Linked DNA regions of Lytechinus pictus. The protein of the gene in region 1 interacts with the protein of each later gene in a pairwise test. Links are inferred from orthologs where the notes say so. Each region holds a gene or a part of one and is shown in the gene's direction. Other genes may lie near its edges. The genes, in order: cysteine-rich motor neuron 1 protein-like and zonadhesin-like.

Region 1 (16,111 bases):
TGCAACTATTGCGCGCGGAATCTCGGTACAGGGGACTTCGGGAGAGAAAAAAATTGACCTCTGACGTCATTAAAGAGGAGAAGTTCTCCGGTTTGCTTTCATACTGGCCTTTTCACCGGCGAACTTCGCCGGTGAAACAGTTTCGCCGGCGAAGTTCTCCACCTCTAGAGGTGGAGAAGTTCGCCGGTGAACTTCACCGGTGAAGTTCTCCTGTGTACCTTTCATACTGGACACTTTCCCCTTCGCTGGTGAACTTCGCCGGTGAAAAGCGCAATATGAAAGGGGTATACAGGTAAATGATTCTTTACACCTACTTCATAAACTGCTCATCACCCTTTCGATTGCATTCAGGATAACCTCTCACATTTGCTTAATTACACATTACAGGGTTTAGTCACTATTGAATTTCAACTTGATGTGATTTCAATCTTGACAGATTAATGTTTCCCATCTTGAGTTTAATTTGTTTAGAATACATTGTGAGACAGATGAGGATCGGGGGGGGGGGGCACTTCCATTGACGAGTGGATACCATGCGCAACCATAGGGTCTCGAAAAGCACCCTAAACACGTATTTTCCATATTCTGAAAATGCACTCATCAACATTTATAAAACAATTTAGTCTTAAGTTTTTATACCATCGCAAAGTGTTTTTGACACCCTTATTACGTTACATATGCCCTATCTTGAAAAAGATATCCTTTTTACGTGTTTTTTACGAGTGGATACCATGTATCAAAGTGTTTTTGACACCCTTATTACGTTACGTATGCCCTATCTTGAAAAAGACATCCTTTTTACGTGTTTTTACGAGTGGATACCATGTATCAAAGTGTTTTTGACACCCTTATTACGTTACGTATGCCCTATCTTGAAAAAGACATCCTTTTTACGTGTTTTTACGAGTTGATACCATGTATCAAAGTGTTTTTGACACCCTTATTACGTTACGTATGCCCTATCTTGAAAAAGACATCCTTTTTAAGTGTTTTTTTGGTCGCGCATGGTATCCACTCGTCAATGTAAATGGCCCCCCACCCCTCCCTGGATGAGGATGGATATTATTGGGTTATGATTCCCAAGTTGCATAGTATTTCTTCATTGAAAATTATCTTTGTCAACATTTTGTTTGAACACGCATTTTTATATGAACATTCTTGTTAGCTTAAAACTCGCTTGAAAGCAACACCACAAAAAATTAAGTCTAAATAAATTCACATTTCTGTTATCCGCTGATGGTTTTTTCACCCAACCTTCATTGATACTTGTTTTCTTTTATTCTTTTTTAAAACCAACCTGACATCAGATTGAACTTCACTTCTAGTCTAAATGACCATTCCTAGTATCATCTATCTAGCCTTAGCTCTCATTTTAGATTTGACCTGACACTGACCTTCTAGAGACTATCAATACCAATTTACTAGGAATGCCATCTTATTTTCTACTACACAACATAACAATTGTGTCATATCCCTGCATTTCCATAATGAATGTTGAGGTCCTTTCATATCCAGTTAATCACAGAAAATACTTGGTATTTTCTAATCAGGAATTCTACCATGATCAATTACAAATTATTATTTTTTTCATGTTAGATTTTAGAGACAGTTGGATGTCTGTTCATGAAATTCAAAAGTGTTGAAAAGTCTAATTCCATAATTCCTTTTATATCTAATTATCCTGGTATTCAAAATTCAGTCAAATACTAAAGCCATCCAAAATTGCTGCAAAACCAAAGCTAGGCCAATACATTTATAAATTTATTTTATAATTTTTGTTTGACCCTCTTTGAACAGATAGTGTGAACATAGTGATGTGTTGTATGATATGAATTGTGAATCAAAGATGATATTGAAGCGCTCCTTCAGAGGGTTAAATTGAAGTGATAATTGTGTTGTAAATATATACTCAGGATGGGTGTGTCTTCTATTCATCTTGCTCAGAGTGGGATAAGTAAAGCAACCAAGTGTTTTCTTCTACCAGACTAAACATTTCAGGTAAACATTGTCTTAGAAGAATACAATATGAGGCTCATTATCTGCACTAAATGATATTTGCTTCAGCTACAGCATCCTTCAGGGTGCGTCAATATTAGTGTTAGCATGGACCCTTTTGTCATCGCTGTGAAGTTATGAATGGTTTTCAGGGCAGTAAAAAGATTTCTGGGTTGTGTTTTATTGCCTTGCGTGACAATGCGACAAACTTTTCAGGTATTTTTGTTCACACACCCCTTGGACTTGAAACATTCATATTCCCTTCGGAATGACTCTCTGAATTGAATACATTTTTTGCGTCAAGATTGGTTGAAATTGAAAAGAAGTGCATTAAAATTCCTCATCAAATATAACCCAAATATCAATAGGTTTGCAATCACTGTATTATGCTAATGCAAGGTGTGATTTAAATTTGATTGTGTATTTCCAATGAGCTATGTAACTACAGTCTTTTGTTCATGACAAGCGAATGTAGGGTTTTGAATCAAGTATTTGCCTTCCTGTTCCATCTGTATAATTTGGTCGCTCTAGTTATAACTAGATCTTGATGTATACAAACTTTGTTTGCCTTACCTTAAGAGTGCAGTGGCTGAGCACTGTATAAAACCATTCATTTTAGCAAAAATTGATTAAATTTGTTCTCGGTGATTAGATAAGCTGGTGTCTCCAGCGATGTTGCTGTTTAACCTTTACCCAAATTTACTGCTAAATTGAATAATGGTTTTATGGTGTCCCATGCAACAGTAATTGACAAACTAAGCACACTGTACAGACCTTATGCCGTACAACCAGCGTTCTCTTTATCTTACCCAGAACCTTTGCTAAATGAAGCAAAAACACATTTCAATATTTTATGAAATAAATCAATGTGTCTTAGATTAACAAGTGGGTAGAAAAATACATAGTTATATCTTTTAATTTAAAAAATATTAAATTTGCTTGAGAAAATAACGATTTTAGTTTGAAATTAGTTTAGTTTGATCTAATACAGATATCTGATTTTGAGATTCATTGTGATATCACTAAGGCTTTTACCTCATTACATGGTTACAGGATCCACACTAATTTACCATTTGTAAGGTAAAAGTATTAGATAAAACTTGTGTAGAATGGTGTAGATTGCTATGAACTCAGTTCAGTTTATTGCATTGACGCCTACAGGCAACAATGCTCTGTTCCGTATTCCTATTCCGTCGTCTTCTTCTTCTGTCTTCTGTCTGCTTCTTCCACAAAATCCCATTCGTTTAACACATAGTTTTTGTTAGCTCTGCGCTGGCTCCGTCCCTCATCCAAATTCATTCAAATTTGGTAGACATGTTTTCCAGCACCCCTAGTTGTGCACCTCATCTTTCATTTTCCAAAATCACTCATGCATGACCATCCAGGCGCCATTTTGTAAATTTTAAGTCCATTTGCTTACCATTCCTAATTATAATCCCGTCCTAACTCCCGTATCCTGCATGCTACAGACTTCTAACAAATTGCAGTAGATAGTTTAAGAGTTGCTCTTTCATATATAAATACGATCTGCCCTTCAAAATGCCGTCTTCTTGCACTAAATTCAAGTCCAAGATAGTCTACATTCAAAATGTTCATATTTATTGAAATATAAGTAGGAAAATCGTAAAATGGCCATAACTTCCTCGTTTTTATACATTATGGTGTTATATTTTCAGGGTTTGCTTATGGTATCATCCCTAAAATGCCAAATGTTTTTTACGCATCAGTGACCATTACCTTTAGAAATAGCGCCCTCTATTGTTTTCAATTATTTTAGTCTCATATTTTCAGGGTTTGCTTATGGTATCATCCCTCATAATTCAAATGTTTTTTTTAAACTCAACATTGACCACTACGTTAATAAATAGCGCCCTCTATTGAAAAGTGGAAAATATTAAATTTACCCTAACTTCCTCGTTTTCATCCATTTTGGTCTCATATTTTCAGGGTTTGCTTAAGGTAACATCTTTCATAATTCACTGGTTTGTTACTCATCAGTGACCATTACCTTTAGAAATAGCGCCCTCTATTGAAAAGTCAAAAATAGTAATATTACCATAACTTCCTTGTTTATATTCATTTTGGTGTCATATTTTGAGGGTTTGCCTATGGTATCATCCCTAAATTGCCAAATGTTTTTGTATGCATCAGTGACTATAACCTTTAGAAATAGCACCCTCTATTGCAAAGTCAGAAAATTGTAAAATTGCCATAACTTCCTTGTTTGAATTCATTTTGATCTCATATTTTCAGGGTTTGCCATTTGTATCATTTCACATAATCCAACTGTGTTTTACACATCAGTGACCATTTCCTTTAAGAAATAGCGCCCTCTAATATTTTCAGAATGTATATCATCTAGAGTTTTCTCTCTATCTCCTGTTTCTTGCCCTCTATTAAATCACAGGCGTCAATGCATGCACATCATTCTGAAACGATTGCAGTTCTAGTTATAACTGCTATAGTTCAAAGTCCAAAATTTAGGGATGAATCAAATTACAATGACATACATATATTCAAAATATAAAAAGAAAACACAATCATGAAATTTTACTTGCTAAGTAAGCTTTTACTTGTAAGGTCGCAAGTTTACTTAGATCTTGGTTTAATTACAAACACATCACAGCAAAGTTGTTTGAAAAACTGAAAAAAATATTCCTCATGCCATCACACCAAACAGACCCTCTCCAGTAATTAAAATAACAGTTCCTTTCGATTGAAATTAAAATTTAATTTTGGATCCTTGCCTGAATACAATTATTTTGGATTAATATTCAATGTAGACGTTTTAAGATTGGAGCAGAGGGGTAACAAGATAGCAGAGAATAGACAAGAAAAGTGTAAATTGGAAGCTGTAAATACAATGTTGATGTGATGAGAAGTGACAAGACGCATAGTTGTTTGTTATAAGATACTCCCTATCATACACCTGCCTACCTATATTCTCTAGTCTCTAGGCATATTCAGACTGCCTCGAAGTTCGTAAGTTCCAGGTATTCTCTGATCGGGAAATTTTCCCTGATCTACCCTCATCAGAAAATACCAGGTAATTTTGGCAATGTGAAAGCAAATTAACGTAATATCCCCAAAAGAAATTACCTGCTAAATACTAGGTACTTGTATAAATGACAACAAAATTTGCGGGGATTTTGGTCCAATGTTACAGGTATTTTGGCAGTGTGAAGGCAAAATACAGGAACTTACTTTCCAATCGTGTATTTGGGCATGGGCGCTGTGGGTAGCTGCTAAGCTAGCGAGCTTGAGTCTCGTGCCTTACTAGCCTCTTGTCTAGGCCTTGGCGGCTGCTTCCCGAGCGAAGCGAGGGATTTCCTAATTCGAATTAGGCCTGGCGCGAGCCAGGGCCTCTTGACATATGAGCTGAATTATATATTCACGAGGAACGTCTTCCTAATGAATATACATGAGTCATGATATTACCGGTCACCTAGTAAACTAATGAAATGTCAAAGCTGTTTCGTCCGGGTTTCGGAATACTATAGTAGTCCACTATTCTGCAGGGGATTCATTTAATTGCGGGACACTAAAGGGGATATAACCAGCAAAATGCTACAAGTAGTGGTACTATACTACTGCTACTACTATAGTACTGGCCGTAACATGCAGACCCATCACCACCCCAAAACTTCCTGGGAGATACTGGTCAGCCGCTGGTCAGACTCGAGTCAAGGGGAAGCTCCACTCCAGCATTAATCCCTCACTGCACAGAGGAGATCGATAATCGACGCATAGTGGAATCGCTGAAAAATATTACATTTTTTCCATATCCTGTGGGTATATTTACAAAACATCTCGTCCTGTCAGTGCAGATTTAATTTCATAGAATTGCAAATCCTTAAATCGGTCAATATTCAGCATTTTTAGAGGCATATTCAATGCTCTTTCATATTTTGTCGTCACTCTTCGCCAAGAATCCACGGGTCGCCATTCAAGATGAGCTCATGAATATTCAATATGACGTCATAGCGGCCCGCGCTCTCATTGGATGATTTTCACCGACCAGTTCTTGGTCGGAATATTGGTAAAAAAACAATAATAAACAAAAGAAATTCAGCCCAGATGTCTAGAGGCCCTGTCTCGCAGCGCTCTGCTTCGCTCTCTCCCTTGCTTAGCCATGTTCGTTTGGAAAGCAGCCGACAGGGCCTCGACAAGAGGCTAGTGCCTTACCTGCTTATCAGACCATACTTTGCAGTTTGACCCAGGAAGTATAGGTCAACTTTTTGCGCGTGTTTCGGTCACTAAAATAAAAGGTAAGAATCCTTTTATTTCCATGGTTTCAGCTCTCGAAAAAACACATTTTGCTTTCAGAATTCAGTCTTTTATACCTAATATTGTTTACTTTTATTCATCTAGTCGGTTTATCAAAAATGGTGTTCGGAAGTAAATTTCAGCATATATCCAATTTAATATTGGCACTGTTATAAAAACTGAGCTCATCGTCTTTAACTTTCCAGTTCATTTACTAGAGCTTAAAGTTGAAGCCATGAAAAAAACAAAATGAAATGCAGAAGACAATGCAATGACCCACACAGAACTCAAATAAATGCATGTGACAAGAAATACATGCATGGCACATAATTATGTACACAGACTGAGCGTAGCAGAGTCAAGCCGGAAGTAGCCCGACATAGTGACGTCATAGAATCATGATTCAAATCACGATTACGTTCATACAACCTTTTTTGTTCGTGATTCTACAGAAACATCTTTCCAAATGCCCCTTTTTCTGTGTTTCTTGTTTGTGATTTGAAAGACGTTTATTTTCACTTTTGACTATAAAACGCAATCGTGATTCTGCAGAATCATGATTTGAATCATGATTCAGATCATGATTCTAAGGTAAAAAAGTGGCGCATAAACGCACCCTAAATGGCTATAGACTGTTTTATGGACACACTGTTAAATTTTTTTTTAAAACAAAGTCCGACTGGAATTTTTTTTAAATGTCAGGAGCAGATCTATTATTGATTGGCATATCTCCCTTTCTGCATCTTGGCTCCCAGCATCTTTGTCAGCTATCATCTGAAATTGCAAACACTATTTATCATTCTATGTAAAGTGAAGATGATGTTGGTTTGAGTTCATCCATCTATGATTGATTAGATGCTATTCATGCAGAACAATGATCATTGGAAACCAATTACCTCCTCACATTGACTCAGTGAACTTGCTTCCAGACATGACTATAATGTGGCTTTTATTGGCTGATTAGGGTGGATCTCCATCAGACCAAGTTTGTTCATTTAGATTCTAGTCTGATCAGCCAACATAGATTGAAAGATTGAAGAGACAAAATCAGACCGAGAGGGCTATTTTTGCTCGAGTGTGGAATATGGCATAGATCTTGTTGTTTTACAGAACATGGTATAGTAACATGAATAAATTATTTGTATTCACTTGCAAAAATTAGCTGGATCATTCACCAAATAATGTACTATTTTGTAGAAGTCTTCTGATTTGAATTGTAATCTAAAGACCCCATGACATAGCCTGTATCTTCATTACAAATAATTGTGAGACTAATCTGATGATGATAATTTTCTGGGTTAGAAATAGCTGGAGAGTTTCTCTTTTTCTCTTCCCTAATAAATGCCTTGGCACAATGTTGAGCCATTTTCTCTTGCCATATGTTTACCCTCAAATATGATCACGTCCTTTGTTCAAATTTGTTCAAATTTTCATTAGGGCTTGATCATGAGCAAATTTCATTGTCCTGGGATCACCCGAGATTTTTTTATTTTGCCTCATTTTCTGTTTTGTATTTTGCCTCATTTTTTTTTTTCTTTTGCCCACACCGCTCATGTTTCCATGGATTTAGTGTTATTGTGTAGATGAAGTTGGTGAACTTTGCTTTTCAAAGGAAGTATTAGATGTATTCAATAGATGTCTGTGCTTGAAATGATATCAGGCCTGCCAAGTGCTGAGGACAGGTCAAAGATCATAGGAAAAGTTGTTTTATCCAATCATATGTGTCTACAGGTATTCATGTAACAGGGTCCAGGGGGCTGTTTCATAAAGCTTTTCTTAAATTAAGAGCGACTGGTGATCCTTTCTTATGTGCTAACCCATCGCCAATGAACATTTGGTGTATACCATTTACCAAAAGAAAGGATCACCAGTCATTCTTAAAGTCGCTCTTAACTTATGAACGGCTTTATGAAACACCCACCAGAACCTATTTTATAGTACATCAGCCACGTTTACATGTATTATCAGCTTTCACTTCTTGATTTCACAAATCACACACACACACATACATTATTTGCTTTATATGCTTTATAAATATGCATAAATCCTAATATTAATGTTGAAATATATGTTTCCAATTTTGTCTTCCAGAGCCAACTCCAGCAGACTGTTCTCAGGCACGCTGCGACATTGTTTTTGATATCCATTGTCCGCCAGATAGTCTAAAGATAGAGGCTCAACGGGAAGAAGGTGAATGCTGCCCTCGCCCCCCTCAGTGCTTATGTGACATGGGGGCGTGTCATGATGTTGTTTGTGCTGAGGGTTACCAGTATCATGAGATGAGTGCTGGTAATGGGAGGCCGGGATCATGCTGTGCTACATATGAATGCAGACCAATCAGTGAGTATATCAGAATTAGATGGGTATTGATAGACCTTTAAACAGTTAATCCACCATGATTCTTTAGCTGAAATTTGTTAGATGGTAGCAGGTATAGATGTATCTTTGCTCATGTGAATGTGAATTCAAAGAACAGTCTACACTCTAAAGGTGATGTCTAATCACATAACACAGTAATTAATTTATTACCATCTATTGGTGCTGAGGCTAAGATGTTCTAAGGCACCTGGTTAACACACAAAAGTTTGGGAACCAATTCCTTGAGCAAGGCATTTATCTGTGTTGCTCTTTATTATACAATGAATAAATAAAAGAGATATCCAATATCCATTGGTCCTTCAATTTTATTTTATTCTTTGAGCTATATGCATGTATATTTACCGATAGAAATGCCATATTTCACCTCCTTTGCAACAATTGTTCTCAATGTGTGCAATGACTCTGTTTAAAAAAAGGGTCTACATATGACTTTATGAATGACTTGAATAAGAAATACCAAATGATGTGTCATTTTTTTTTACAGATATTAAAAAACTTGTGATGGTTTCAAATGATCCCAATTATATTGTAATAAAAAAAATTATTCTTGCTTTTGATGAGGAAGAGTCATTTTTGTGAGCTCAATAAGAATGTTAATCTGCATAAATGATATTTTTCTAGCTAATTCAATAAAAATGGAATGATTAAATCTAGATTTACATATGGAATTTTGGATTGCCATGTTTCTATACCAGTATTAAACTGCTTTATGAAACCAAACCCATGTTCTGTTTATATGCTCCACATTCTTACTTGAATAATGTTTCTCTACAAATGCTTTAACATCTCCTAGATTATGTGAAATACTTGTGTCAGTGTAAAAAGTACTTGTTATCCCTAAAAGAAATGACAACAAATTGAAATAATTACTTTTCACAATTATGAATAGCTTTGCCTGGATTTCTTCTTGGTCAAATTAAAAAATCAAGGAGATTATCACCTTGGTAAAAAACTTGTGATAACTTTTGATATGTGGCAAGAAGAATGTTGTAGGGGAATGAAAATCTTCTTTCAAGCTCATAATTGCAGGAATTTTATCTGGTTGAGGTAGGTGTGAATGCAAAAAATGAAGTCTTATTCTCAAGCCTGAAAACTTATTTATTTTTGTGACTGGGCAAGTGTGAATGCAGCTTATATAGATCGTTTTCTGATATATTGAAAGCCTACAAATTACATTCTTTATCTGTGCATGCATTAGTCCACAATTCCTTTAAAAGAAAACCATTTCAAAGATCCTAATCCTAGGACATGTGATGACAAGGACCTACATGAAATGAAATAATCCATATCAATCATCTTTTTACTCTAGTTCATCAGAATATGAACTCTGTTCCCCTCTATTCCCATACCCCTGTCATGTCTTCTTTCCTTCATACAATATGAGCCATGCACTTTTTACAGAATGCCATCACAAACTAGAATCAATACCAGCCACAGAGTTTTATTTCAATTATGGAGTCTTTACATATTTTTTTTCTTCAGTTTTTGGAAGCAATAATGCTACTTTTCCTCTTATATTAGACTATAATAGTATAAAGTATTTTTTTAAATAATCAATTCATTTTTGTGAGCTTGTGAAAACCTATTGTTATCATGATAATGGTGTTGTAGTGAGTGAAAACTAGGTGGCAGAATTTATAGACACAGTGTAAGATCTCTAGGAATTTCCAAGCTAGTAAATGAAGAGTGTCTAGAACGTAGATCAACATTCAAAAGAAATGTTCAAGTTTGGATTAAAGTTCATAGGTAGTTTGCCCTCTTCTAAGAAAAAAAGGAGTTAGAAACTGTGAAAATAATGAATAATACTAATAATACATTTTGAAGGTTAGATAGACTTGAAGTACAATCTATATCTGCTTCAGGCAAAAGTACATAGGTCCATGGGACAAATTCCATTTTGCTCCTAAAATCTAAATTAGCCCTTGTTAGTGAATCTTCTTGATCTCCTTCATTTTAATTCTGAACTTACCTTTTGATGTCATCTAGATGGTTTTATGGCTTATTTGTTTAAAGTGCCTCAATTTGTAAAATGAAAGAGATATTGAAATTATAGCATGTTTTTTTTTGGAAGAAGACTAGCGAAAGAAGATGATGAATTGCAACTAAAATTGCTGTTCATTGTGCTAAACTCCTTTGGGATGTCATTTCAATTTTATTCTCTACCATTTCTAAGAGAGCGATACCAAATTATGGATCATATCAAAGACCACCCTATTCCTTGACACAGGATGGAGGGCATGATACCAGTTATGGCCAATTTAAGAAGTTTTTGTTTAAAAGTATCAGTTGTAATTATGGTGATTCATCATTTGAAATCTGATTTTTTGTTTGCTCATATTTTTTGGTCTAATACCAGTTGGTCTACTGTTATTCCCATATGTAATGTACTATCAATTAAGTTCAAATTCTACCATCACCACCACCACTACAACCACCACCATCACCACTACCATCACCACCTGAACACCACCACCACTGTCACCACCACTGTCGTCACCACCTGAACACCACCACCACTGTCATCACCACCACCACCACCACTGTCATCACCACCACCACCACCACTACCACCATCACCACCACTACCACCATCACCACTACCATTACCACCTGAACACCACCACCACTGTCACCACCACTGTCATCACCACCACCACCACCACCACTGTCATCACCACCACCACTACCAGCACCCCCTCCACCACCACCACCACTTGCACCTCCTGAAAACCACCTGAACACCACATTATGATTACTTCCTCTAATTCTAATACTACTCCTATTATTTCTGCAATTCTCCTACTACTACCACAACCTCTATGGTGACAATGATGACTAGTGCTGTTGCTACTGCCATTACTGCTGCTAGGACTAATAATGATGAACATGATTATTAGTTATTTTACAACTATCATACTTTCTATCACTTGGAGACCTCAATCCGGTGTATTAAGCACTACACAAAAAGCGGAATACTATTGTAATAATTACTTGTTATTACTTTTATTATTATTATTAATATTATTATTTTTTTTTTACTATTATTGTTTTCAATATTTATTTGTTATGGTTATGATACTTATTTGTTAATTATTATTATTTTTATTATTTCAGTGGACCCCAATCATTGCAATGGAGTTGTTTGTCCGGATAGCTCTGAAGAGATGTGTCCTCCTGATTCTAAGGCTGTGATGGGAGGAATGTCAGATGATGGCTGCTGTATCCTACCAAGCAGGTCAGTAAGGTTCCTGCTATGGAACTTCTTTGACAGCCCATAGAAACATGTGTTATATCCATGAAATTAGGGAGCATTTATGCTTCCACTTTTTAGGCCAGAATAAGAATTTTCAAACGTGATTAGGTCAAAACGCTATTGCATCCATGAGGAAATACAGTTGCATCATTACCTCTCAACTCCCTGGTTTTAATAATGAGCAAGAATTTGCAGGTATGATTATTGAATAAAGTGCTATTGTAGTTAATCCTTCTCTTATTCATCATCAGAATAAATGTTAAGAGATCATACTTACTGAACATGAGTTCTAATGAGGAGACATCACTGAGCCAAACAAAACCTGATGTCATTATTTGCTTGAATGTGTACTTACATACTCTATTTTGTCTTCCAATTACCCTCACCATGGTGGAATGGCTATGCCATTCCCTGGGGGGCTACTTAGCATAAATGTATGATATGTATATGGCGCGGTCGAGACCCCGATTTTCATTCTAAATTTCCGTTCCAGAGCATCACCAATTTAGAAAGTCATAGAAATTCCTATTTCCCCTGTTCCAGAGACCCTCAAATTTGTACTTTCTCGTTCCAGTACGCGCCCATCATTAACTACTCAGCCGGTCGGGGCGGCGAGCTCAATCAATGAGTTCCAGAGACCCCCATGTTTGATATGGTCAATTCCAAAGCAATGCATTTTTAGCAATTATTGATTCAAGGGCCATTCTGGAGACACCCATTTTAAAGACCAATATTTAGTTCCAGAGCCCCCTTTTTTCGACTTTGGTGTGGCACGTAGGTATCATGTTATAATTCGAGTAGCCCCCCCCCCCCCCCCCCCGGGGTGCCATCTAGCTCCATGCAATTACTAAAAGATCAGAAGTTGTTCAAAGTTAAAATAACAGTTGACCACTCCAACACTCTGCAAAAAAAAATTGAAAAAGGATGTGCCCAATTCGACTTCGCTTTCCTGCTCAATGTAAATTATAATGTGAAGCCAGCTGCAGATTCCGATTTTGCCTCTGGAAAAATTAAGCATAAACAGCACTCCCAGAACCATGTTTGCAATCAGCATTCTGAAATTGCATTTGGAAATGCCAATTCTGTCCTCGCAATGGAATCATAAACACACCCTTAGACATGTGAACATTTTGATAAACAGACACCCAAACCACCCCCAAAAACTTGATATAAACAGAGGACAAGCAGTTAGGAGTTTTTAGTTGTATTATCTGAATTCGTGTATGAAAAAAATTGATCTGGTGAAAAAAGTGATGAAAATAAAGATTACTGAATTACTGTTGTAACTCCGATTTATTGTTATAAATGTTGATATTCAGAACCCATATGACAGTCAAGCAACAGCAAGAAGCTGGCACTATAAAACACTTGTTAGAATTGATGTAATCACAGCAGGACTATTGACAACCTTGATTATTACAAACCACCTCCCATCCATCTGTGGCAATGACATTGGATTACACTTAAGTTACTGTAACTACGATTGGAATGAAAAGATAGTTGATGGAGACGATTGCATGATTTTAACCCATTGATTTTACCTTTGTTATTACATGATAGATGTAGCTGTGCCCTAGAGCGATGTATGACACCAGTCTGTTCTCAAGGTTATTCTCCTAGGAGAATAGCCAGTGGTACTATAGAACCTGGATCATGCTGTGATGTCTATGAATGTGTTGTTGGTAAGTATCATCAGTTAGGTTTCTCTGACCTGGGGAGCGTTTCATGAAAGGACTTGTCGGACGTTTTATCCGACAAGTCCCACTTTATCCGACAGTCACCATAGTAACAGTGCTTCTTAGCCAATCAGAATCAAGGAAAGTTGTCAGGTCTGACAACTTGTCGGACGGAAATGTTGATGAAACACTCCCCTGGTTCACTCTCACCTTTCCTGAATAATTCATGCTAGACCAATCTATCAGCGACCGCTACGGTAGTAAGGTGGACACATGAAGTGATTCAAGAAGCTATCCTGAAAACTATTTCTTAAGACCATGTAACGTCTTCTGTATAACAGTGCTTTATCTATGGGTTCATGGTTTGAATTGAAATATTGCAAAGAAGTACCCAGAGGTAGAGTGTATTCTTGGAGTTATGTAGACTATTGAGTCACAAGATGGAATGTTTCAAACTTCCTGAGAGCATTGACCTTATTGCCCAACAGTATCTCCAGTAGAGCTATACATTCTGCTGATGATGTCAACAGACTACATCTGGTGGGTGTTTCATAAAGCTGTTCCTAAAGTTACGCATGACTTTACAGAGGACTGGAACACCTCAGGTACTAAGTTAGCTATACAGGGTTATATCATTTGGCACGAGAAAGTGTCACCAGTCGTTCATAAAATCATATGTTACTTACAAACAGCTTCTTGAAACACCTACCCTGGACCACTTCATTGGATTAGTTTAAGATGATGACTGTCAACAGGGAATTCCATCAAATCTAAAGCAGTCTAAATCCAGACTCCTATACCAATAGGTCATTATTTCGCTGCATGTCTAGGTTTTTATTAAGTCATTTTCTTTATGTACAGACTTTTTAAAACATTTCGCAAAACTATATTCAAACAATATAGTACAATATCAATGATTAGTGAATATCACCTTGATATTTACTCTGAACTACTTGAGTATATCTACAAAATTGTGTTTCATGCATTTACACCTTGTGAGAACATACCCGACATTGAGTGAGAACATTCATTTACAACATCTAGTGTGAACATGCCTTAGAAACTATTAAGAACATGAATTTTCAACATCTACATGTAAAGTGAACAAAGTGTTGTATCTAGTGAAAACATGTCTCTGCATTAAATAAGCTTTTACATTTAGTATAAAGAGCATGGTCTTTACATCTCAGCCAAACTCTGTCATGATGCTTTTGTTGACATTTAAAACAAGATAATTTCACGGTGAGCTTCCATGCCATGATATCAGTGAATGTGAAGTTGAAAAGAAGCATGAAATTCACTCCAGAGTGTCCAAGGTGCAAGCATTGTTTAATTCCCTAAGCTCTAAAGATACTTTATAAAAGACAATGGGCGCAAGGATCCTTTGATGTTGTATTGGTTTCAAGTCTCTTTTGCCCCCATTCTATGTGGAGACACAGGAGAATGGATTTAGTGTTACCCCAAGTAGAATTACTGAATCAAATACCTATGTCTCACGTTTCCATCCTTTTTTAAGAGAATTAGTTTCAGGTTTGAAAATTTAGCAAAAAATGGGAGGAGTACTTTGTATATGCTAAATTGCTATATTGTGTTCTATGAAATGATATGCACACTTATTTTTGTATATATTTCCAAGCTTTAAATGTCAAAATTAGGCCTGAGACATCCTGTTTTTTTTTTTAACCTGTGGACCACCAAAATGAAGAAATACATGAGAAATTCAGTGTCACCAAATACTATGAATTTCAATCACTTTTTATTTCTTGATCTGTAAATCAAAATTTTCACATGAGACTAAATTTCCAAACCTAAAATTAACCAAGAAGAGCTATGAAAATAATAGAACTGAGCATGATCTCTCAATCTTCTTGCTTCAATTTATAGGCCCGAATTGTTTTAATCCCAGGTGCATGGGCACATCCATTTTAATCTGATTGCAATTTTTCCACTTTTAGTTACTCCTCTGCAGAATTGCAATTATAAACAAATGCGATCACAACCAGAATAAGATGGCTGTGCTCGTTAACAGGGATTATAATGTTTTGGGCTGATAAAATTCAAGCAAGAAAATTGAAAAATCTTGCTCATTACTATTTTCATAGCTTTACTTTGAAATTTAGTATCATGTGAAAGTTTTGATATATAGATCTAGATAAGGGAATAATGCTTTGAAAAGTGGTTGATATTAACAGTCTTTGAAGATACTGAATTTTTCATGTTTTTCTTTATTCTAGCAGTCTATCAGTCTGGAAGAAATTGCACCAGTGTCCCGGACTGACTGGTTCTACTCAGGCCTAATCAAAATGTATTTGATATTTATTGTAGATTCAGTTTTCAAACACATTCATTAATTGACAGAGATTTCATCATGTTTCATATATGTGATTTTTAGTTCAATATTAAGCAACCTGTTGTGATGGTTGCCAATATAGCAATTTTATTTTCGTATTATTAATTGAAGAGATCAGAAAATGAAATACAACTTTCTCACTCTCAAATTTTAGTGTGTGACTTTAAGAGTAACAATGTTCAGGTAAATTCT
Region 2 (16,317 bases), on another chromosome or scaffold:
CTTGTATCTCACCCTACAGGTAGTTTGAACTGTGCAGCTTTCACCGCTGGTATCATTGAGGCTATACTAAATGGATGTAACTTTGTAAGTAAAAAAAAGGAAGAATATGTAAATATAAGGGAAGATGATCTTGATAATGTTGCATAAAAAATACTTAGTGTAGTAATAACTCAGCAAATTTCCATGGTAGCAGGGTTTAGAGCCAATTAAAATGAAGTATGAATAAATTGAAGAAAAAACTACCAGCCAAGTTTAACACAATTGGAGCTTAGTGTGGGGGTGCAATAGCTCAGTCGCTAGAGCGGGGGTTTCAGATTCCAGTGACCCGGGTTCGATTCCCACTTGATGCGCTAGTGCCCTTTGGTAAGGCATTAATCCTCACTACCAGGTCCCTTGGAGAGGACCTTAAGCCATCGCTCCTTTGGTTGCTTGCTTACAAGCATACATGCTTAATAGCAACCAGGTAAAAAAATCACCACCATTTACCAGTGTAAAAAGAATTATAAATATTTTGTAAAACTGAGGGGGATGGAGGGGCGGTGAGTTTTCATTGACAATTTATTTTTCTTTGAAAAGTTTAAGATTACTGGTAATTTATAGAGAAAACAAGTGAACAATTTCTGTGTTGAAAAACATATGATAAGAAGGATATCTTGCACCAAGCACCTTCAATCAATGATATTTGCAGTATCCACAATCAAGAACAAAGTTATGCAATTTTTTTTCCATATCAATTTCAACTCAAGACGTGAACAAGGCTTCAGTTAATCCTAGTCATCAATTCTCACCAAGAATGATCAAAGTTGATTTATATCTTGTCACCCACAGAGCTAATAAAATGCAGTGCCAGAAAAGTGCAATTCTTTTTGTCATAAATAATTTTTTTCTTATTTCCAGGTTGCAACCAATTTGGAATACCAATATCTAAGTTCATGTCTGTAGCTAGGGAAATGATAAATTCATTTGCGTTCACCTTTACAAAGTAACTTTCTTTACTAAGTCTAGAATGTCTTTTAAAAAATTATTGGAAACATCAAATATGATGTCTTATTTCAGAGATTAAACAGTGTTTGCATGATCACCTTTTGAAAGGAGACAAACTTTTCCCTCCTAAATCATTAATTCATGTTCTTAATTAGTTTGGAATAGTTAAAAGCATGTAGAGAAACTTTATTGATTATTATACATTTAATGAATTTAACATTATTACTATGAAATATGGAATCAAAAATGAGAAAGTCCTTGAAAAGAGAGAATATTCTTTGTTAAAAAGTAAAATTCCCTCTGTTTCTCAAATCTTTTTTGCCTCATAATCTACCAACTTGTAGGGCCATCATGGGAGTTGTTAAGCTGTATGTGAACATTCTTACATTTTATTAACCAACACTGAAAACTTCCTGAAACTGTATAGAATTGGCGGTTTGAAACATTACCAAATAATTTTATTTTGACATTTATGATTGAATTTGAAGGACTGAAATTGGGAGGCATAAATTAGCACCTGTGGATTAGACACATTGTTTCTCTCTTCCTGTCTCTGAATATAAATTAAAAAGAAAAATCCTGCAAAGTGTTCAGCCTACATTTATTTCCAGCTGTTTTTGAAGGGGTAAATTAGCATTAACAAAAAAAAATGGCTCACTGATAGCAAGCATGAATAGGGAACTGTATATATTTTCTATTTTATGTCAAGATAGGATAAACTAAAAAACAGAGTGTTCTGCTGAGATGTATTTCCAGCACATGTTTTAAGAAGGATGACTTGACATTAACAAAAGCAGAACAATTTGCTTTGCAAATGGATTGACATGTATGCCTATATAATTTTTTGTAGTGTCTATGTGAACATTTTAGATGAAATAGCAGTAAAAACAACAAATGAGCAAGGTTCACAGTTGGATAGATTTACAGAATTTATTTTAAAATAATATAAAAAGGGGTAGTTTTTAAAGACTGGTCAATGGTCAATCGTGTTCAATCAAAATAAAATGTTTGCATTTTTATGTCTTGTAAAACCCCTTTTAAACTACAGAATGAGCTGAAACTTTCAGGACATAATCTTTGTCAGGAGCTAATTTCCATTTGCTAAAGCTTTAAAGATAAATGCCAGTTGTGGTAACGATCTCAAAATGACTTTTTACAGAATCCAATATCTTGACCACCCAAGTGTCTGTTTTGTATGAATAAAAAATATGTGCCAAGGGATTCTGGAAGAAATTGTGTAATTGCTGAGAAAAATGCAAAATAAGTGCGGATTCAGGCACTTCCGTCTGGCCTGTATTCCAGCAATAATAATATACACTGTCCCACGCATGCCTATCTGTGTTGGCGATCTTCAGTGTGATCGTTTTTCAGCTTAGATTTTATGATTTCACAAAGTTCAGTTTATGTAACTGTACCAGATCGAGATCCATGATGTATAGTAATACTTAACCTTGGTTTTACAGACTTTCTCACGAAATCAGTGTTTTACTGCAACTACTTTCATTTAGCTTTAATGGGCTCAAAGGGCTTTAAAAAAAAAGACCATTGCTGAGATGGGGAGGTAATGCCAAATTCAATTTGTGATGGCTGGAAAATATGCCAAATTTGAATTCTAATTGCTGAAAAATTCATCATACTTAACTAATATCACTGACCCATTTCCAAAGCTTGAGATAGGCTTTTTGTTACTTGATTGCATGATGGCGCTATTGTAATCATGCCTTTCCCTAGATTGGAGCATTTTATCACAAAATAAGAAATCAATTTCACAATCTACATTGTGATTCTATTTATATTATAAATATATTCTTTGTATTGGTTATTACACTCAACAAATGATATAAATGTTTTGATTGATAACTTATTTATTGATAATCTTGAAGAAAAAATAAGTATTGGTAATCTCATTTCATGAAATTGTTTGAAAAAAGTGAGACCTATAGTTTCATTAGCTTACTAATTTTCTATAGTGTGATAAACCTATAAAACATTCTATAATACATAATTGTTTTACAAAGTAACAATGCCAAATGTCAAGGTGCTGCACTTATTTTATTGATTTCTCTGACATTTACCTGTGGAAATGTACAATATAGAACAACTATTGCTAGGTACCATAGACCGTTTTGGTGATATTATGGAGATTCAAAACTAGTGTTATGAGATATATGTTAAAAAAAACCTTTTAATATCTTAGTCAATATCTGTTTATTTTATAGGAAAATGGTATAATAATTACATCGCCTTTTCTCTTCCTTTTCTTTCCTCATTCTCCCATTCTTCTGTCATCTCCCTTCCCCCCCCCCCCCTCACACACAGCCGGCTAAGGTAACTGCTCATTGGCACAAAGGAACCACATACATGATCAAATTTGAAGACTCTGTTATTGCTAGAGACAAATCTCTGGAACAACGCTAGTCTTTCAGAAAAGCGTTTACTGTACAACCTGTGTATAAATACCGCTCAAGGATGACAAGAAAGAAGGACTTAATTGGCAGGTTGCTGTCTTAGGACCATTTGGGATGGACAGGACGGTGTCTCTCTAGGATGATCCTCTTTCTTTTATTACATGGTCTAAGGAGAACTACTATTCATGAGAAAGAAGTAAATGTGGTCTTAATATATACCATTTGCCATCTCAAAATATTCCAGTGGCATTGCACAAAGTGAAGATCATGTACCTGACTTCATGGCAACTGACAACTCTTCCACTTCTTGGTGACACTGAAGATGCCATTAGAATGATCTGTTGGAAGGACTTAAGATTTAAAAAAATATTATTTACATTTACCAGTGATGTATGATGATGGTTTGAATTATTAGGAGCCAGGAACATGTCTTGTACTGCTATACTCATTGAATATTGGACCAAAACTAGATATTTGGAGGAGCACATTGTGAGAGGCCTATGGGAGAGACAATCATTTGGCCTTTTTAAAAGGGGATGTTGCGTCTGGAAAGCATTTTGTCGACATTTTTTATCCACAAGTTGTCATATCTTTGGAACTTTCCTTTATTTTGATAAGCTTAGGAGCACAGTACCTATGGTAACTGTTAGATAAAATATACTTTGTCAGATGAAATGTCTAACAAGTCCTTTCATGTGAAATACTCCCCTAGATGTTTTAGCCAGCTTGTGCCAATGTACTGTATGTGTGGCAAGTGTTTTTTCTCCTTTTATCTGATGTGAAGGATCATTTGTGTTGATAAAAAAAAAATGAATTTAGAATCAAATAAACATACTTTTTATGTAGTTTGTGTCCATCAGCATATGCTGGCTAAAGTGGTGTGTCAGCCCCTATACTTGTACATGTAGGGACATGTACTTATTCATCTATTATTATGAATTAGATAAATTAGATTCGACCAATCGTGTCGCTGAATATAAATTTATATATTTTATGATTGATTGGCTGCTGAGCCTTTACTACGATGCTACTTTAACATAATGGGACAGTTAGCATGATTGAAAGTCCTTCATGAAACAACCCCCAAATCTACCTTTCAACATACTGAGAGATTTTGTTGAAAGAAGCCTAAATTAATGACACTTCTTTGAAAATAACCTTTAGCTAAAGCAATTGGAGACGTATACTAAGCCATTATGATGTCAAAATAGCAAAGAATTAAAGCCTCTTTTAGCTTTGGTAAATTCCCCAAAATGTGGCTATCACTATTCCAAATCATTACAAGATTATATGAATGTGTATGATGCCCTAAAACAGTGTTTTACAGGATACATTTTGTGATTGTACATGAATATGTATTTTGATCGGGTACTCGATCAAAATGTAATGGTTTTTCTATTTATTAGAAACCCATTCCAAACTGTTAACTTGGCTGAAAGTTTCAGGATATATTACTTTGCCTGTAGCCTCTAATTATCCAATTTCTAATTTTTTAAGATAAATAATAATAATATGCAACATTTATATAGGGCTTAATATAAAGCGCTGCATACTATTACCTTGGCTTTAGCATGGCTACTCTGAGCAGACGCTTGAGCATTCAAGGATTTTGTTCCTACCGGATACCCATTTATCACACCTCATTGCCCAAAAAGACTTATAATGGAAAATGAAAATAGTGTTAAGAGAGGGCGTTAGATACATGTAATTTGATTTGAATATCTAGATAATCATGGAGAATTGGCAGTTGAAATAATATCGAACATCTTCTACGAATTTTTAAGATTGGAAAGTTAGACGATACTCAAGTATAATGCACATTTTTTACCCCTTAGTGACGCACAATTAGATACCCGGGGGGGGGGGGGGAGGTTGCTGGAAGTTTGGGTTGATGCATTTTTTTTCCTTTTTCTTTGAGTAATTTTTTTTTAATAGTCCATTTTTTGGCACCTTTCAGATGATTTGTCAGTGGACCAAGTTTTTTTTTTATTCTGATGGTGAGTCAAGTTTTTTTTGGGGGGAAAAAACTTCCAGCCCCCCCCCCCCCCCCCCGGAGTTCTAATGGTGCGTCCCTTAGTGGCTTTAATAGGTAATTTGTAGACTTGTTTTGTAAAAAGACCTACATGCACAGACAAATTTTGTGTGTGTGGCTGGTTTGAATGTTATGAAGAAAAAATAGATATGACTCTTCGAAGTAAAACATGTATAGGTAAAAGTATCATAGCATCTCTTTGTGTAGCAATGAAATAAATTTAGTATCCGAATTGTGCAATACCAGCCTCATGTAATTATAGAAATTCGTTAATGTATGAATTTTTCCTTTGTAAAAGAAGAATGTCCTTGTCTGGTAGATTAAATGTGAGTCGAGTGATGAATTATATTATTGTATTTTAGTGCCGTCATGTTTGCGAGCACATCGGAATCAAATGACCTTTAGTAGTTATATACATGTAAAAGCACTTGGAGATGCTATTCTGAGTACATTAAATGCTCTACATGTACAAAAGTGGAATACTATTATCATTGGTATTATTATTGTTTAATATTATATGTACTGTGGCTGCTGCTACCGAAGACATAGAGAGTTTGGAATCTAGTCTTCACTCTAGACCTGGTATAATGGGTTAAAATGTCAATTTTGAGTCTGTGTTTGCAGACTACTCCAGCAATGCTTAGTTAGTCAACTCTCCTAATAATAGACGAGATCATTCCATTTGATTTTGGTTCTGATGATAAAGACATAATTCATTAGTACTGTGAATGGTGGATTTTTATGTAAAATGTTGTAATGATGATGATGATGATGGTGGTGGTGGTGGTGGTGATGATGTTGATTAAGATGATGATAATGGTGATGATTTTGATGATGATGATGATACTGTAGATAATGATCCCAACAGTGTTAGATTTATTCTTTGGTATGTGATGATTTTGATGATTGATGATCATGAGAGGAAGAAAGAAAGTGAGGGTAGTGAGGTTGGGGTTGGAGACAGGCGCGTAGCCAGGGGGGGGGGGGCGGTGGGGGCGGTCGCCACCCCCCCAAAACGTCCCCAAAAAGAAAAAAAAGAAGGGAAAAAAGAGAGGAGAAAAGGAAAAGGGAAGGGAGGAAAGGGAAGAAAGGTAGCTTTGTGTTTTTTTTTTTATTTTTTTTTAAAATTTTTTCTCAAAAGAGAATTAAACTCCTTCACTCTTGCTCTAAATATGAATTTTGCTTCCGCGCTGTGCGCGGTTAAATGACAATATTGAAGTTCTCCTTTGTTTCCCCCACCCTTTCTCTAACCCTGTTTTTCCACCTCAGCTATATGTGTTTCTTGCCAGTTAAAGTTCAAATGTATACATTAGGGCATGGAATTAGAGTAAAGTTATATCGAAGTATATGAAGTTATCTTTTTTTGATTGATCGCGCAACTTCTGGCCGGGTCGGTTCCGGGCGGGTAAAATCTTTATATCAATTTCTGCCGTCACCTCCATAAAGTCAACTTCTCCCGCTTTTCAGCTCATTACTAAACAACCATAATTTTGGGGCAAACAGTTTCCTGATTTAAAAAGAGGAAGGTATAAAATTTGTGTCGTATATACTAAATAAAAAAGTACAATATTTTTTATCAAATTCTATTAAACTTCATGTCATTTCCCTGCACATTCATCTCCTGTCATGTTTTGCGCCCTCAGTTTGAAATTTTGAATGACACCTAAGTTTCTTTATAATTCAAAATGAAGCGCTTCAGGATTAGTCAAAGAAATTAGGCATCCTTTTTTATATAATTTCAATAAATCACAGAAGTTTCAACTTTTTGAGCATTATTTTCTTTGTAATGAAGTTCAATAATCTTAGAAAATCAATTGAATTAGAGCCGATGGGGTATTAGAGATAGGCCTATCTGCATTTCATGAAACATCCGCCCTTTGAAATTTCAGAGTTTCATTGCTCGGGGAGGAATATTTTCCTCCTGGTATATACACTTCTTCTCTTCTGTTTTGCGAGTTAAAGATATGCACTGTCGCTAAATTGTTTGTAATCAAATCTGATCTTTCCAAGGGAAGTAATCAATATATCTTTGAGAATACCCGTTTCTCGGGACCCTTTTCATGGCAAAAAAATTGATAAAACGCTTTAGCTTCAGCGCTTTGCGCAGGGTTATTATTATTTTAATTTCCTCCATTGCCTTTTTTGTGCGTTCACAATCACTTTTGAAAGCAAGGTTCATGAAAACGAGGTTCAAAAGCACAATATAGTCAACTGAATTGGAGCTGATATAGGTACTAGAGACAAGAGAGACGGCTCCTTTTCATTTTAATTTATGAAACCCCAAAAGCTTCGTGCTTCGCGCGGGGGGGGGGGGAACTCCCCCTCCCTGCACCCACCCCCTAGGGAGCGCGCTTTGCGTGCTCTGTAAGTGTTGGCACGCTTCGCGTGCATTTACCGCCCCCTCCAAAATGAAATCCTGGCTACGCGGTTGGTTGGAGACAGGAGAAGAGAAATGTCTTCTATATATATATATACATATGCATTTGTTAGAAAAACCTCTGAAGAAGGAAAATAAACCAAAGTATGATTGATAAGGTTGAGAAATTTGAAAATAATGTTTGAGGAGAAAAACAAGCAATTGTAGGCCTACACTTGAGAAGACACTTGTTTCCAAAACAAATCAATATCATAACTCTTCTTCATTAGAAAATCTAAGTTTTGTTTGTTCCAAACTAGTACTCCTATATAAGGTTATTGCAAAATGCATTCTATTCCCATATTAGAGTAATCCTATTGTTAATAACTGCATACAAGAATACCAAACCTTGAGTAAGTGTCAATTGTGTATATTGTAAATCAAAGTGATAGAATTATGGGATGGTCAAGGGTTTGTTTTTGCAAATCAAGAGATGTGACAACTCCATCTGTTCACGTTACTGTCACACGATGGTACTGTGGTCCTTCAAAATTTCTTTTGTAATCCAAAGGGCGTTATATTTTTCTTAGAACGTAGCCTTTAAGCCTGATGTTAACCTTCATGTTTACAACTAAATATTGATTATTGTCAAATATCAAACGATATAATCATGGATTTTCGTTTCATGTTTTGAATGTAATTGGGATAAGCATGGGTTGTAATAGGTCCATGGGGTAAGCAAGGATTAATATTTTTGTTAACAAAGTGTGAATCAAATTAGAGTCGAGGGTTGGGATTATTCCATCTGTGCACACTATTGTCACGAACATAAACCAAATATTGGGGGTATTGTCAACGGTGATATTATAGGGAGGGGTTATTTGTCTAATATGTTGCAATCTGATTGGTTTAAACTAAATCACATGATCAATTGTAATTTGCACATCAAACACCTAGGGTCTGTTCTTATAAAACTTCTTATAACACCAAATTTACGATTACAGTTTAAAGCTACTGAAATCATGCAGTTTCATTTGGTGATAGTGAACTTGTTCTAGAAATTTAGAAATTATGCATTTGTTATCATAACGAGTATCTATGAAACGGGACCCAAGTAGTACTCTTGATCTTCACTTATCTTCCGAGTTTCTTCAGTCTTCTATACAATACAGTTTCAACACACATTTTCTTTATCTGGAGTGAGCTCATAATGAAAGTTATTGCACTGTATACTAACATTGGTAGAGGTGCATTGCACTGTGTGCTATCTGCTATTTAAATAAATGCTGTACAGTGTGTACTATCTGAGTTTGCTGGATTGTGTACTATCTTTAATTAAGGTTCATTGCACTTCAATGTTTATTTTTTTCTTAACTCATAGGTGCACAGTGCGTGCACTTAATTAAATTACCCCCCCCAAAAAAAGCATTATCCTTGTGCATGATCAAAACAAACTATTGTGCGCACCAAAAGCAATTGGCATGTGCATACAAGAGAGATTGAACTTTGTTGCTTTGTCAGTAATTAAGCAATGTTCAATCGTTCAGTTGACATTATTTTTGAAGAAAATGCCTTCCTTTTCTTTCTATGATTAGATCATTTCCAATGTTATACAGTACAAAGGAAAAAATATGGTTTCAGTGAATGAGATGTCAATTGTATCTTTCCAAAGCAAAGCTGAGGAAAGATAGCTTCAACCAAATGATAAATGTATTTTTTGTATTTTTTTTGGGGGGGTATTTTTTTACAAAGCTATATATATCAGTTATGCACATTGTATCTATCAGATTGTGTTATTTTTCAATAATAATCTTATCTGTATTTATTCTGTTCATAAAAGGGGGGGGGGTGCAACCCCACGGGTCTACTCCATTTCAGCACCTGTACCTGGTGTGGGACCAGATGCCATGGATCAATAATCTGGGTTTTGTTATTTATTTGAAAATATGTATTCTCACTTTGGAAATATATTCTCATAGATCAGAGGTAACAACCATCGAGGTAAGGCAAGTTTTATTTTTGTGCTCAAGTTGAACATTCATATTGCTAGGAATTTAGAAAAAAAATCCTGGCTTGTACCTCTTTTGGAAAGATTGATGAGGTGATTGTGAGAATTCATATAATTCTCTTGAATATTCAGTCATGGTTTTCATTCTCAGATTTTAAGCAATCTAAAGAGTCATCATATTTTTTAAAGAGCTGACACTTGTCAACCCTTATCTTACCAAAAAGAAAGGTAGAACAAACTTTTTCATCACACAACCCTGTACATTGAGTAGTCCTTTTCTGAAGCGTAAATAGATAATGAAAATGATATGTTGGGTTTAATATAACTTTAAGTACTTTGTTTTGAAGTCAAATACACATATTTTTTTAAAATTTGTCATCAGAATTGAAGAAACGATAGGAGAGACTTTATAACCTAGAACCTACCGATTCTAAAAGAATACTATCATTAATTACAGCTACATGTATGATAAAAGTTGGTCAATAAGATTTTTTATTAAAAAATGTTATGAGATGAATGTTCAAACCGAACTTATCAATGATTTTCGCTAGCATTTCTCAGAGTGTAGGTCTATTTACCTTAGCTCAGGGAGAGCAGGCCTTATCCTTATCTTTTTTATCAATATCATTATACATTCTTTCAGGATATTGGATTTTTGTGACTGCTGTATTAAACATAATGGCAATTACATATTTCCATTGTCAAAGGGTTATAGAACTTAATAACCTTTGAAATACTTATAATATCTAGCCCTAGGGGCCCGTTGCAGAAATAGTTGCGTTTAAACGCAAGTAAAAAAATCAATGGCAAGTCCCAAATGCGTGCTGTTGATTGGTTGAAAATCAAGTTGCGATTGATTTGTAGAGTTTCTATTAATTGCAACTCTTTCTGCAACGGGCCCCTGAACTTACAGGAGTGTTTTCATTAAGATTTTGAAATACCTTTGTTTTGTTTATTTCAGTTGTGTTTTCAAGATGTTTTCAAGAATGTTCATCCCATTGTTGGTCGGGCTACTTGCTGCATCAACAGAAGCAAACTGTAAGTTTATTTTCAAATTATATTTCTTTTCTCAGGAGATCTTTGTATGTTTGCATGGTTGTACATATATCATAGAAGAGGCTTATGTTTCACCATTTTATTGGGCAAGAGAAGAACTACTGGATGGTGGATTGATAGAGATGAAGAAAAATGAAAGATGCGAAAGAGAAAGATGAGAGGGAAAGTATCTTTTTCCTAAGGAGGACTGTAAACTAGATGGAATTGATGATGAGAAATCCTGCCAGTGGTGAGTAGAAGATTAGTGGATGAGTTGAGATGAGATGAGAAGTCCTGCTAATGGTGAGCAGAAGATAAGTAGATGAGTTGAGATGAGAAAGTGCTGCTAATGGTGAGCAGAAGATTAGTAGATGAGTTGAGAGGAGTTGAGAAAACCTGCCAGTGATGAGTAGAAGATTAGTGGATGAGTTGAGATGAGATGAGAAGTCCTGCTGAGGTGAGTAGAAGATTAGTGGATGAGTTGAGATGAGAAATCCTGCCAGTGGTGAGTAGAAGATTAGTGGATGAGTTGAGATGAGAAATCCTGCCAGTGGTGAGTAGAAGATTAGTGGATGAGTTGAGATGAGAAATCCTGCCAGTGGTGAGTAGAAGATTAGTGGATGAGTTGAGATGAGAAGTCCTGCTGCAGTGAGTAGAAGATAAGTAGATGAGTTGAGATGAGAGAGTGCTGCTAATGGTGAGCAGAAGATAAGTAGATGAGTTGAGAGGAGTTGAGAAAACCTGCCAGTGATGAGTAGAAGATTAGTGGATGAGTTGAGATGAGATGAGAAGTCCTGCTGCGGTGAGTAGAAGATAAGTTAAGTTGATGTGTAGAGGAGTTGTGAGTAGAAGATTAGTGGATGAGTTGAGATGAGAAATCCTGCCAGTGGTGAGTAGAAGATTAGTGGATGAGTTGAGATGAGAAGTCCTGCTGCAGTGAGTAGAAGATAAGTAGATGAGTTGAGATGAGAGAGTGCTGCTAATGGTGAGCAGAAGATAAGTAGATGAGTTGAGAGGAGTTGAGAAATCCTGCTGGCAGCAAGTAGAAGACAGTAGATGAGTTGAGAGGCAGTGAATAGAAGATAAGTACATGTTTAATTGACCAAAAGTTTAATTTGTTGTGAATTTCCTATTTTACTTCTGATTTTGATGAAATGAAAGAGTTGTTAGATTTTATCATCTTTCAAATCAACTTTTTGTTAAGGTGGGCTTCCCCTTTAATATGCAAGTCTTACATACGTAAAATTAATTAAGGGGAAATTATTGCTAAGTAACTTGTTGTGTTGCTTTGACTTTTGCAGTAGCGGCAGCTCCAGAGCCAGAATGTGCCGAAGGCATGCTCCTTGATACTTGTGGCGCACCTTGCCCTGAGCCATCATGCAGCAACCCACAGCCAATATTTTGCAGAGCGGCTTGTCTGAACATACCAAAATGCATCTGTGATCGAAATAATGGATATGTCCGGGATGAGAACGGTGACTGTATTCAAGTAGAACAATGTCCACCAAGTAAGTTTGAAATAACTCTTATTAATTCAAGTGATAATCTGTTATGTCTTGATGAACTTCCTTATTTCCTGCATGTTTTCCTGTATTGTCTCACTCTTCTTGTATTTGTTGCCATGGTAATATTCTATTTTCTTGATCTTCAGAATGTGCTGAAGGCATGGTTCTTGATACTTGTGGTGCACCTTGTCCTGAGCCATCATGCAGCAACCCACAGCCAATATTTTGTAGAGCGGCTTGTCAGAACATACCAAAATGCATCTGTGATCGAAAAAATGGATATGTCCGGGATGAGAACGGTGACTGTATTCAAGTAGAACAATGTCCACCAAGTAAGTTTTGAAGGGTCCTCTTCTCATTTCCAGAGATATTCTTTTATGTCATGATATTTCTTCCTTATCTCCTTCACATTTTCCTGAAATATTGTTTTACTCTTCTTGTATTTGTTGCCATGGTAATAGTCTATTTTCTTGTTCTTCAGAATGTTCTGACAGTATGGTCCTTGATACTTTTGGTGTACCTTGTCCAAAGCCAACATGCATCTCATCTTACATGGTCTTTTCCCATTCTGTCTACAACCACTTTGTCTAATAACCTTTTGGTCAATTTACCACTTGAACTACGTGTATTTTACTATTACATCTAATTACCATTTGGTCTATACCCAATTTGTATACTATAACTTGGTATAAGACTGCTTGGTCTTAGTATGGTTGCAAAAAGTGAAGTTATTAATCAAATTTTTATTTGATAAATGAAAAAAAAAAGAAATGAGTAGAAAAAATGGAAAGTTGATCAACTAGGCATTAGAAAAAGTGAGTATAAAACCAAGTGTAATGTAGACCAAACGGCAACAAGATCAAATGTGTTTAGCTCATATGTTATTAGACTATCTGAGAAGAAAACCAGCTGTTTGTTGGCCAAGTGAATATAAACTGTTAAAACTTGGTCTCTTAATTCAGAGAGTGTGCCAACATGCACAATATTCAATGTGCAGTCTCGTCGATTGAGAGGGCGTCCATGAGCATGATTACTCATTCTATAAGTGTCAAATATGAAATCAAAATACACTTGATGATTGAGATATCTATGCCTAAAAAAAGTTGCCTCTTTTCTGGGACACACTATAGAGTATCCACTCATCTTTCCTCCATGCAGGTTGTGGCGAGAACGAGGTCTTCTCTAACTGTGATTCCATTTGTCGGAGAACCTGTGAAAATAAAAATTTAAACTTAGCCTGCAAAGCTCCTTGTTCTCCTGGATGTGTCTGTGACGAAGCCAGAGGGTTTATCCGCGATCGCAATGAAAACGGCCAATGCATTCTAGAATCACAATGTCCACCTGGTAAGTAGCAATTGATCCTCGGCAAAGGGAGGGTGGGACTAGGGTGACCAGACTCTTTAAGAATTATTCTAATCTCCTTCCTAACCAGCTTATAATAATTGTATGAAGGGCAGCCCCATGTCTGTGCACCTAGAAATTTAACTTGAGATTGAACAGGAATTTCCTTTTATTCCATAAAAAATGTCAGTGGATAATGTTCCTTATATTATTATGAGTAAGGGTGCCAAAATCTTGTGAAAATCTTGGCCAATCATTGTCAGATTGAAAAAAAAAAAAATTGTACCCCATGTCTGTGCATCCTCTCACTTTACACATGATTCAGATATTTTGATGAGAAAAGCTGCATATCGAGGCCCTCACATTGAATGCCTGGAATTCAATATTTTCCTTATTTTGAGTCAAGTTTTCATTGAATATTTGTCTATGTATTACAATTGTAAAATATGAGGTCATTGCATGTCTTCTTTTATTAGAATTGCGCAGATACGCGTATGCACAGACAAGGGACACTGTACAGACTTTGCATGGGCACCTTACCTTCATTGCTTTCTCTGTTATAAAGTCTCATGGGAGACAACTCTTGTTTCTTGGTGGACGCCATGCTCGTCCATGAATTTTCAAGATGTCAGAGTACCCCATTCATTTTTTCCCAACACTGAATAATGTCTCAAATATTCTATGTTTATGATAGGACAAAAAATATACCCTTTCCCCTTTCTGATTCTTGCATGGCTGTTGAAAAGTATACCCTTTTTCCTGATTTTGGCAAGTTTGATACCCTTTTCACTGTCCGTGCATATATGATTGTGAAAAACACCCGCTTTACACCCACTTTTGTGGACAAGCATGGTGTCCACCCAGATTTGACGCCCCTCCCCTGCCCCACTGGTATTCTTAACCATCTTTCTCACCTTGTAGTTTGTGGAGAGAACGAGTCTCCTGGATGCGAAGCCTGTCAGAAGACGTGTGAAAATAAGAACCAAAAACTCCCATGTCCTCTGAATTGTGAAGAATCATGTGTTTGTGATGACGGATATGTCCGCGATGGAAACGGTCGATGTGTTCTGGAAGCAGAATGTCCAGATCCAGGTAAGCAGATCAGGGATTCATTTTAAGAAACAATAGTCATTGATTTTCACTAAATAACTTATAAACTACTGAAATACTTGTTTCTCATTGGCTTAGATCAAATTTGTCAATGAAAATCACTGATGTTTCATGAAACACTCCCCCCCCCTACATCCATATAATTTTGTTTATCATTTTTCTCATTGTTTATTTTAATTTCACCATTTTCAGTGTCTTTCATCTTAATAGTCTTCTCACCTCCTCTCTCCTTTCATTTACACATTTAATTGATACTTATCTATTAGTTAATCTTGGCCAAATTTAAGCAGAGTGTCATCTGCACTCTCCAATGTGTGGCTGGATGCTTCTGTGAAGAAGGATTTGTCCGTTTGGTTGAAGACGGACCATGCGTTCCACCAGAGGAATGTCCAAGCGCAAGTTCGTGAAAGCAAATTATTTTCCTCAGTAGTGCTAATGACCTCAAAGAACACTTAAAGGTGTCATTGTATTTGGTCCCGTTGAATAAAGATTTGTTGTAATAAAAATTGCCCAATTTCTTTTTAATAAGTTTAAATAGTATCAGCCAATCAAACTGAATGATTTCAGTAAGCTTGTAACTGTTATCGCAAATTTGTTATTATAACAAGTTTTTCTGAAATAGGACCTTGGTTTGTTTAATACATTCTGAAGGTGCATGGAATATATACCATTGACTTCACATTTATTCATTTATCTATTTTTATGTCTCTCTCCAGACATAACAAGCCATCAAGTGTAAAAGTTATCCCCTCCCCCCCTCGATTGAGACTATCTTTCATATTATGTGCGCCCATGCATGCAGCTATTTAGGGTTTGCTTATGAGTTCTATGCACCAAAATTGGTGAAATTGTCAGCGATTTGAATAGACCTGCTGAAGGGAATAAAGAATTAATAATTGCTGGTTAATTTCTCAAAATGGCACATAAAAATGAAAAAAAAAAATGAAAAAATGAAGTTTTGAATTGCGTTTTTCCATTTAAACTTAGTTTTCAATTCTGATTAACAACAGAAGCGTGAGCAGAGATTTTGACATGGCATCCTGGAGAAATTAGGTAATGTGATGTCTTGTTTTTATGTCTTTTGGACTTCTCCACCTTCTCCCTTTCTGCCAATCTTGGCTGTCTCCTGTCATCCCATCTTTCTATAAGGATATTCACCAATGTCTTTTCTTCATTTGTTGTATTCCCTCTGTAGATTGTGGGGAGAATGAATCCTACACATCCTGTGGCTCAGCTTGTCCAAAAACTTGTGAGAATAAAGATGAGGAACAGTTCTGCATTACTCTTTGTGTTGAAGGATGTTTCTGTGACGATGGGTTCTTACGCGATGAAAACGGTCGATGTGTTCTGGAAAGTGAATGTCCATCAACAAGTAAGTGACTCCACCTTCCCATGGCCTCTGTGTTTCTGTTTTTATCTCTTCGACTTTTCCTCTTTCTCCTCCTTTCATACCTATCTTGGCTGTCTTCTGTCATCCCATCTGTCTATAAGGATATTCAACAATGTCTTCTTCATTTGTTGTATTCCCTCTGTAGATT

What was found.
Region 2: the proteins of cysteine-rich motor neuron 1 protein-like (region 1) and zonadhesin-like interact in a two-hybrid assay, tested with the Caenorhabditis elegans proteins (2 studies listed by BioGRID). The link is inferred for Lytechinus pictus from reciprocal best matches to the Caenorhabditis elegans genes crim-1 and Y69H2.3.

Annotation. Positions count from the first base shown.
Region 1 is NC_087251.1:737,457-753,567, reverse strand, and holds the start of cysteine-rich motor neuron 1 protein-like, read left to right. Parts: upstream 1-8,354; 5' UTR 8,355-8,489; coding exon 8,490-8,601; intron 8,602-11,754; coding exon 11,755-11,875; intron 11,876-13,453; coding exon 13,454-13,575; intron 13,576-16,111.
Region 2 is NC_087255.1:32,035,759-32,052,075, reverse strand, and holds the start of zonadhesin-like, read left to right. Parts: upstream 1-9,763; 5' UTR 9,764-9,876; coding exon 9,877-9,881; intron 9,882-10,749; coding exon 10,750-10,826; intron 10,827-12,124; coding exon 12,125-12,331; intron 12,332-12,474; coding exon 12,475-12,660; intron 12,661-13,486; coding exon 13,487-13,672; intron 13,673-14,590; coding exon 14,591-14,761; intron 14,762-15,974; coding exon 15,975-16,151; intron 16,152-16,314; coding exon 16,315-16,317.